2 linked regions of the Oryzias latipes genome follow. Each later gene encodes a partner of the first gene's protein in a complex. Links are inferred from orthologs where the notes say so. Each region holds a gene or a part of one and is shown on either strand. Other genes may lie near its edges. The genes, in order: cnot10 and cnot8.

Evidence for each region.
Region 2: cnot10 (region 1) and cnot8 share a complex: the UniProt entries of both Homo sapiens proteins name them as parts of the CCR4-NOT complex. The link is inferred for Oryzias latipes from reciprocal best matches to the Homo sapiens genes CNOT10 and CNOT8.

What each region holds. Positions count from the first base shown.
Region 1 is NC_019874.2:7,745,431-7,750,005, forward strand, and holds the start of cnot10 (CCR4-NOT transcription complex subunit 10), read left to right. Parts: upstream 1-1,628; 5' UTR 1,629-1,824; coding exon 1,825-1,855; intron 1,856-2,438; coding exon 2,439-2,533; intron 2,534-2,638; coding exon 2,639-2,800; intron 2,801-2,872; coding exon 2,873-3,026; intron 3,027-4,120; coding exon 4,121-4,260; intron 4,261-4,575. UniProt on the Homo sapiens protein: Component of the CCR4-NOT complex which is one of the major cellular mRNA deadenylases and is linked to various cellular processes including bulk mRNA degradation, miRNA-mediated repression, translational repression during translational initiation and general transcription regulation.
Region 2 is NC_019872.2:29,383,739-29,386,905, forward strand, and holds the end of cnot8 (CCR4-NOT transcription complex subunit 8), read left to right. Parts: intron 1-93; coding exon 94-238; intron 239-326; coding exon 327-437; intron 438-1,894; coding exon 1,895-2,023; 3' UTR 2,024-2,435; downstream 2,436-3,167. UniProt on the Homo sapiens protein: Has 3'-5' poly(A) exoribonuclease activity for synthetic poly(A) RNA substrate. Its function seems to be partially redundant with that of CNOT7.

The sequences.
Region 1 (4,575 bases):
CTGCTTCACCACCTCCAGCAGCCTCTCCTTCTGCCACTTCATGGATTCGTTTTTTCTCCTTCAAGGAAAATTCTGCCAATAGGTTCGCTGAGCACAGCTTGTGCTCAACAGGTGCTGTTCGTTTTCAACCTTTTACTCACAATCACCTGTCTAGAATCAGCTGCAAATTACACACAAGTTTTCTGTGTTGACATTGCAATTACCAGGGAAAAAAAGCTTTTGTTTTATCTCAGCTTAAAGATGATTTGTTGTAATTCATCGATGCTGTTATTTTATTTTGTTCTGCATCCACATGATTGCGTTTGCACCTGATTTCAGATTAAACCGGTTCAGTGTGGGACACACTTGTGGTTTCATTTGAATTTGTCATATCCATCCATCCATCCATTTCTGTGTCACAGTGTTGTCTGTCGTAGGGCACACAATCACACACACATGCACACCTATAGGGACACTATTAGAGTAGCCAATTAACCAATGAAGCATGTTTTTAGACTGTGGGAGGGAGCTGGAGTGCCTGGAGAAAACCCACACATGCATGAGGAGAACAGGCAACTCCACAGACAAAGGTCCCAGTCGGGATTTAAACTGGGGCCTTCTCAGCACTAACCATTGTTCCACCTTGCAGCCCAGCGGCATTGTTATATTTGAACCCTGTTGAAGGGAATTTGCAGGACATGGGTGGGGGTGGTTGGGTGTGTTATGTTTTGGGGATGGCTCCCATCCTCGTCTCCTTGATTAGCTGTTTCCTCTATGTTCTTTCTTAACTCCATCTCTGCCTCTTTTTCTTCACGTTGTCTCCTTATTATTTGAAGTTTCCATTAATCTGTTTTAGTTCCTCTGTTTCTTCTTCTACCTCGCCTCACCTTTCCCTCTCCTGTCCATTGGAGAACAAGGAACAGTTTACCTTTAACTTGCATCTGGTATTTCATTTCTCACTGAGGTTATTGTAGTTAACAAGAAAAAACCAAACTAGATGTGATAAGGCACAAGAAGGAGACAGAGGCTTTGGGTAAGTAGCTCAATGACACCTGTGTTGACACCTTGATGCTACAAGACACAATCTCCAGCAGCTGCTCAGAGATCCGCCCAGCCTGCTGAAGAAAGAGGCGCACCATCAGACTGACCATAGCCACTGAGGAGAAGGACTGGAAGATACAGTTGAGGAGGAGGAGGAGCAGCATCATCAGGTGTCACTGAACTAATCCATGCGTATACCCCTGCAGGACTTGGAGAAGAAGCTGGATGTGTGCCGATCCTCATTGACGAGGCAGCTGTTGACCCAAAAGGAAAAGAGCAAGGAAGTCAGAAAAGAATCTTGCAAATAACAGGAGCAGACTGATCAGCTGAGCAGATACATCCTAAAGAGTTTCTGACTGTTTCATTCTCTGCCTTTTACTGACAGACAGATATTGGAAGTGGAGAAGTTCCACTATTGAGCTCATTTAATGAAGCCACAGAACTGTCTTCTACCTGATCAGCAGCCTGACTCGATAGGACGGATGTTAGATTTTGTTAATAAAGTTTGTTTATACTTAACTACAAATAAAGTTTATTCAAAATAAAAAAAGACGGCGCGTGCTCTCATTCTTACCATGGACAGTTACTTCCAAAGGGGGCGCTGTTGACAAACCGTGCGCTGGTGTCGATGGCGCCAGTGACCGAAGAAGAACCAAGAGAAGCGGCTACAGCAGTCAGTCACTGAAGCCGACCACAAACAGAGCTGGTCCGGTTCGTGTAAAACTCTTTCCAGTTGGATATTCAGGATTTCCTCTTCCCGGCGTTGTTCTTGTGTTCTCCTACAGCTCCGCGGCTGGATTGTGGATGAAGACCCGGGAAATGGCCGAAAACTCCGGTGGGTGTTCCGGCTGATGATGCTACTAACTAGCTGCTGCTCAGTTAGCGGCTGCTTCTGCATGATGATGATCCGTCAGTGTAGCTGAAACCCCCCCAAAAGACATTAGAGGTAGCCCGACAGCCCCGTGGCAGATCCAGGACTCCCAGGTAACCGTCCCGAAGTTGGGGTGCAGATAATACTGAGCAGACTGTGGTTAGATCAAAGTTCTTGAGGTGATCCAAGCAGGTCCTGCTGCTCATCATGGAACTATGACAGGACAGACCATAACTCAGACACAACACCACGTATGAAGGAACCCCAGCTTGGCCATGAACAGACGCGTCCCACAATAAACTGAGAGAAGGTCATTACGTCGTCATACACGTGACATTCTTTTGCTAAACTTAAGGCTACAATATCTGCCTTAAATGAGAGGGATTTTCAGAAATGGTCTTAGGAAGTTACCATGTGGGGTCTGAAGCCTCCAGAGTGAGAGGGAAGGACTGCAGAGACATGGCGCCCTTTGGGTTCTGGTTGAGCCACGCATTCCGTCCTCAGGTGGAACTCAGAGGGTTTGATGTCTCCTCTGTTGCAATTTCAGCCGAACGCAACGAGGAGAAGCATGACGGCTCGGGTGTGACGGGCATGAGCGACCAGGAGAAGGAGCTGGCCTCGAGTGCGTACGAGTGCTTCTTGGTAAGTCCGTCTCTCTTCGGATCGTCAGCAGAACAGGTTTTGGTGCATGTGGTGGAGGCTGGAGCTGGGTAATGCCACACGACGTGAAGCCTCTGTGTCTCACAGGCTGGACGGTACGAAGAGTCCATGAAGCACCTGGAAGCCCTGCTGGAGTTCAACAAAGAGGACTACAAGATCGCCATGAACAAGGCCGTCACAGAGTTCTACAGGAGCAGTCAGACCACCACGGGCACTTTGAGGCAGACGCTGATGGCCATGAAGAACCGGGTAACAGCAGCTCACCGACACCTGCACTCTAATACGTTATGAGACGTTTGATTGGCCGACTGTGTCCGCCAGCTCCACTCATCGCTGACGGAAGACGCCGATGGCCTGGACGACGTGGAGAACAGCCTGCTGTACTACAATCAAGCGGTCATCTGTTACCACTTGAAGCAGTTCTCTGAGGCCATTTCCATTGGAGAGAAGCTCTACCAGTTCTTGGAGCCGTTTGGTGAGTAGTCAGCAGGGCAGACTCCCCGCCTGCCGCTGTCTGTGGCACAGGTGCATGCTCTGCTCTGCGTCTGGACGTTCACATGGGGGTCACTGAGGTCACATTGTGAGAACACTGGGGTCCTGTTGTGTCCCAGAGAGGTCTGTTTCAGAAATGGAGAGTCCCTGCAGCCTCATTGATTATGGACCTGGAGTGTTTGACGACGCTGAAGTTGGCTTCCGATTCACAGCTTCCAATTCTCCAGGGGACTAAAGGAACATTCCACGGCATTTTTCACATGAAGGCCACGTAGAACCGGTTCCTCTTCAAACCCCACAGGGCCTGGACTGCTCAAACCTGGATTCCATTATGATTTAAATAGTAAATACATTAAACACAGATGTGGAGAAGTCTTCATGAATGTCCAATGAGGTTTAGTGCATGGACACACCATCTTTGGTCATGTGACCCTAAGGTCTGTGCTGAGCTCAGTTGACGAGTTTTCAGCTCCCTGGTAGTTGCTCTTCAACCAGATTCTACAAACTTCTAGCTTTTCCAATAATGGGAAATGTCAGATGTTGGGGGGGGCACACCCAAAGTCACCTGTCAGTCACCAGATCACGCCTCCTTTTTGATCCCAAATACCCTCAAATGGAAGCATCGTCTCCATTGTAGTGTCTGTAAATGTAATGAGAGGTCAAACCTGGATTTATGCTGGTGCTGCCTTTTCTGATGTAAACATCCCAGCTTTCTTTGTGATCTGACCAATCAGCTGATACTTTTCTTTTCAAACCAGCTTCAATGATGAAGTTAAAAGTCTTGGTTTGAGCCACATCTTCAGGCTGTCCATCTTCAGACGGCATGTTGTGCAGCAGGATCTGTTCTCAGCGCCTGTGGGTTCAGCTTTTTTCTGCAACGTTCTGTCTGAAAGCTCCTGTGATGGATCAAGTTCCCACAGTCACCGTCCTGATCCTCAGGGACGCGTCCCGCACAGTCTGACCCAACAGGAAGCCTGCTGGTGCAGACTGGACTGGGGGGGATTGCTCCATGCATGGCGTGCCTTACATCAGGTCTGCTCTCGGCTGTGTGTGTAAAGACTTTTTCATTTGTCCCAGAAGAGAAGTTTGCTCAGGCCGTCTGCTTCCTCCTGGTGGACTTGTACCTGCTGACCTTCCAGCCAGAGAAGGCGCTGCACCTGCTCGCCGTGCTGGATAAGCTGTCTGCTCAGGGCGGCAGCAGGAACGGGAAAGGAGAGGTAAGCGGCGCCGGCAGTGTGATGAAGAGACGCCTCATTTACAGGAGGAGGCTTTGTTCTACTTAGATTTGTTTAACCTTTTTCTGTCCCTTAGGTAAATGTTAAACCTTAAATCCTAATGATTTACAAGAACAAAGATGTTGAAAAGCAGAGTTATGGTATCTTTCGGAGTATAAATAGCTTTTTAGTTTGGGCAGGGGTGTGACTTATACTCAGGAGCAAATGATATATGTGATTTAAAAAAACTGTTTTTTAAACTGAGTCTGAAGAGACGGAAGCACCATTCAGACGCAGCTCCTGCAGCAGACGGTGAAG
Region 2 (3,167 bases), on another chromosome or scaffold:
AGTAAACTTTTGCAGAACCTCTGAAACTGTTCAATGTCTAGAGGAGTTGATTCTCTGAGTTTTTAATCATTAATAATTTTTGTTTTGTCTCAGTGGTTATGACTTTGGCTATCTGGTGAAACTCCTGACGGATGCGCGGCTTCCAGAGGAGGAACACGAGTTCTTTCAGATCTTAAACTTGTTTTTTCCTGCAATTTACGATGTGAAGTATTTGATGAAGAGCTGCAAAAGTCTGAAGGTAAGGCCTGCGGGTCACAGGGTTTATTGCTTTCTACATCCCCGAGGAACGTGGAGCCGTCTCACTCCGTCTCCGCTTGTTCCTGCAGGGGGGGTTGCAGGAAGTGGCCGATCAGCTGGAGCTGAAGAGGATTGGCCGGCAGCATCAGGCGGGGTCGGATTCGCTGCTCACGGGCATGGCTTTCTTCAGGATGAAGGAGGTACAGTCTTCATCGTTTTCCGGCTGACAGCTGTTCTGTTGCAGCTGGAAGTTTTTGTGAATCTGCTTAGATGGTTTATAAAATGTCTTTCGAGAAATGCATTTATAAATGCGTAGAATTGTAGATCTTTAGTGTTTTATGTGTGGACATACACTCACCCACTTTAGCAGCTCCACTTTGCTTGTACCCTCTTTAGCCTTCAGAACCGCCTTAATCCTCTGTGGTTTAGAATCAGCAAGGTTCTGGAAACATTCCTCAGAGACTTTGGTCCATGTTGACATGACAGCATCAGTTGCTGCAGATTTGTCAGCTGTACATCCATGATGCCGATCTCCAGTTCCACCGCATCCCAAAGGTTCTCTATTGGGTTCTGGTGACTGTGGAGGCAGTTTGAGTCCAGAGAACTCATTGTCATGTTCTAGAAACCAGTCTGAGATGATTCCAGCTTCATGACATGGAGCCTTATCCTGCTGGAAGTAGCATCAGAAGATGGTCCACTGTGGTCATGAAGGGATGGACATGGTCAGCATCAATACTCTGGTAGACTGTGGTGCTGGAACCATGCTCAGTTGGTACAAAGAAAACATCCCCACACCATGACACCACCACCACCAGCCTGAACCGTTGATACAGGGCAGGATGGATCCATGCTTTCATTTTGTTGAGGCCAGATTCTGACTCTACCATCTGAATGTGGCAGCAGAAATGGAGACTCATCAGACCAGACAACGTTTTTCCATCTTCTATGGTCCAGTTTTGGTGAGTCTGTGTGAATTGTAGCCTCAGTTTCCTGTTCTTAGCTGACAGCAGTGGTACCCGGTGTGGTCTTCTGCTGCTGTAGTCCATCTGCCTCCAGGTTGGACGGGTTGTTCTTTCATTGATGCTCTTCTGCAGACCTCTGTTGGAACCAGTGGTTCTTTGAGTTCCTGTTGTCTTCTATCAGCTGGAACCAATCTGACCTCTGGCACCAACGAGGCATTTCCATCCACAGAACTGCTGCTCTCTGGATGTTTTCTCTTTAAGGACCGTTCTTTGTAAACCCTAGAGATGGTTGTGGGTGAAAATCCCAGTAGATCAGCAGTTTCTGAAATCCTCAGACCAGCCCGTCTGGAACCAACAAGCACGTTCAGAGTCCCTTCAATCACCTTTCTTCCTCGTTCTGATGCTCGGTTTGATCGTCTGGACCATGTCTAATTAATGCACAGAGCTGCTGCCATGTGATTGGCTGGTTGGACAGGTGTGCCTAATAAAGTCGCCGCAGTTCAATAAAAAGGCTGCTTTGTTTCATTTATTTCATTTTATTTCATCTGAAAATGTGAAACTTTAGCATCAGCTGGATTATTATGAACACATCAAAAATGTCATTTCTTAATTGTCTGCAGGTTTGTGGATGTTTGGTTCAGTGTGAAGGTGGTGCAGAAATAATCCCAACAGACTCGTTTGTTTGTCTGTCGCAGCTTTTCTTCGAGGACAACATCGACGACGCCAAATACTGCGGGAGGCTGTACGGCCTCGGCTCCGGCTCCAGTCAGCCGCAGAACGGCCTCGCCGGCTCCACGGGCGATGAGGCCAACAACAAGCACTGAGCCCCCCCCCCAGAGTGTTTTAAAAGCCAACCAGCGGGTTTCTGCTCCCATCTTCTCACTAAATACCCCAATGTGAGCCCTCACCGCCTCTGCAGGCTGCAGTGGCCCCGCCCCTCATGGCAGTCAGCAGTGGCCCCCTCCCCGGGCTCGCTCTTTCTTTTAGTCACTTTTTACTTCATTTCCAAACACTTTTTAAAACGCCTCATTTGCAGCATGGGACCAGCTTCAGGATGATTCTGCCCCCCAGCAGGATCTCCTTGTAGGTTACACTCATGTAAATGAACATGTTTTAGCTCATGTCCACTCAGAAGGTGGTGGTTCTCCAGCAGACCACACTCTTCCGCTCACTGTTTTTACATTCTGCATCGTTGTCAACAGTTGTATATTAAATTGTTTTGTATTTTCAGTGTAATCGTGGAGCGTTTGGTCATTTCTGGACAATCCTTTTATTCTGTTCTTCAAACACCTCTGTGGTCAAGTCAAAGCGATGCTCAGAAATGACTCGTCAGAACCGGGATCTAGAGCCGAGTCATGTTTTAGGAAAGAGAGGACGAGCATGCTTGGGGAAACTGGGCTAAACCTGGTCCTCGGTTCTTACAGGTGGGGCAGAACAGGGGTCTTCAGCATCATCTCTGCTCCTCCTGCTGGAAGGTGGACGAAGGCGTGTTCTGCAGCAGACTAAGAGAAAAGGCAGCAGGGAAAGAAAGAACTTTGACAGAAACTTAGTGGACGTGACGGGCAGCAGAACTTTGGATCTCCTGTGTGATCAAGAGATCAGAGGAAAGAGTGCTGGGCCTCGCCGGTCGGGCCATGTTTACAACACTTATTGTGGACCCCCTCTTCCCTGGGGTGTCCTCCTCCTGGGCGGGGACGGCTGGCCCCTGCCTTGCTCCTTCCTGGACCAACCGTGGGCCGGGCGGATGGCTGCCTGGAGTGCGGGTCGGGTCTCCCTTGGGGGGTCCTGGCTCGTACCTGGGGTTTGGGCGGGGGGATGCCCGGAACTCCTCGGTGGTGATGGGGTGCTCGTCTGGGGCTGTGGGTGTTCTTCTGGGGCGGTGCCCCGCGTTGAGCCTTCCCGGCGTAGCGGTGGGGCTGCTCTCCTGTTAGGCCGGAGCAGCACTCTCTTTACCCCATCCCTCCCCTG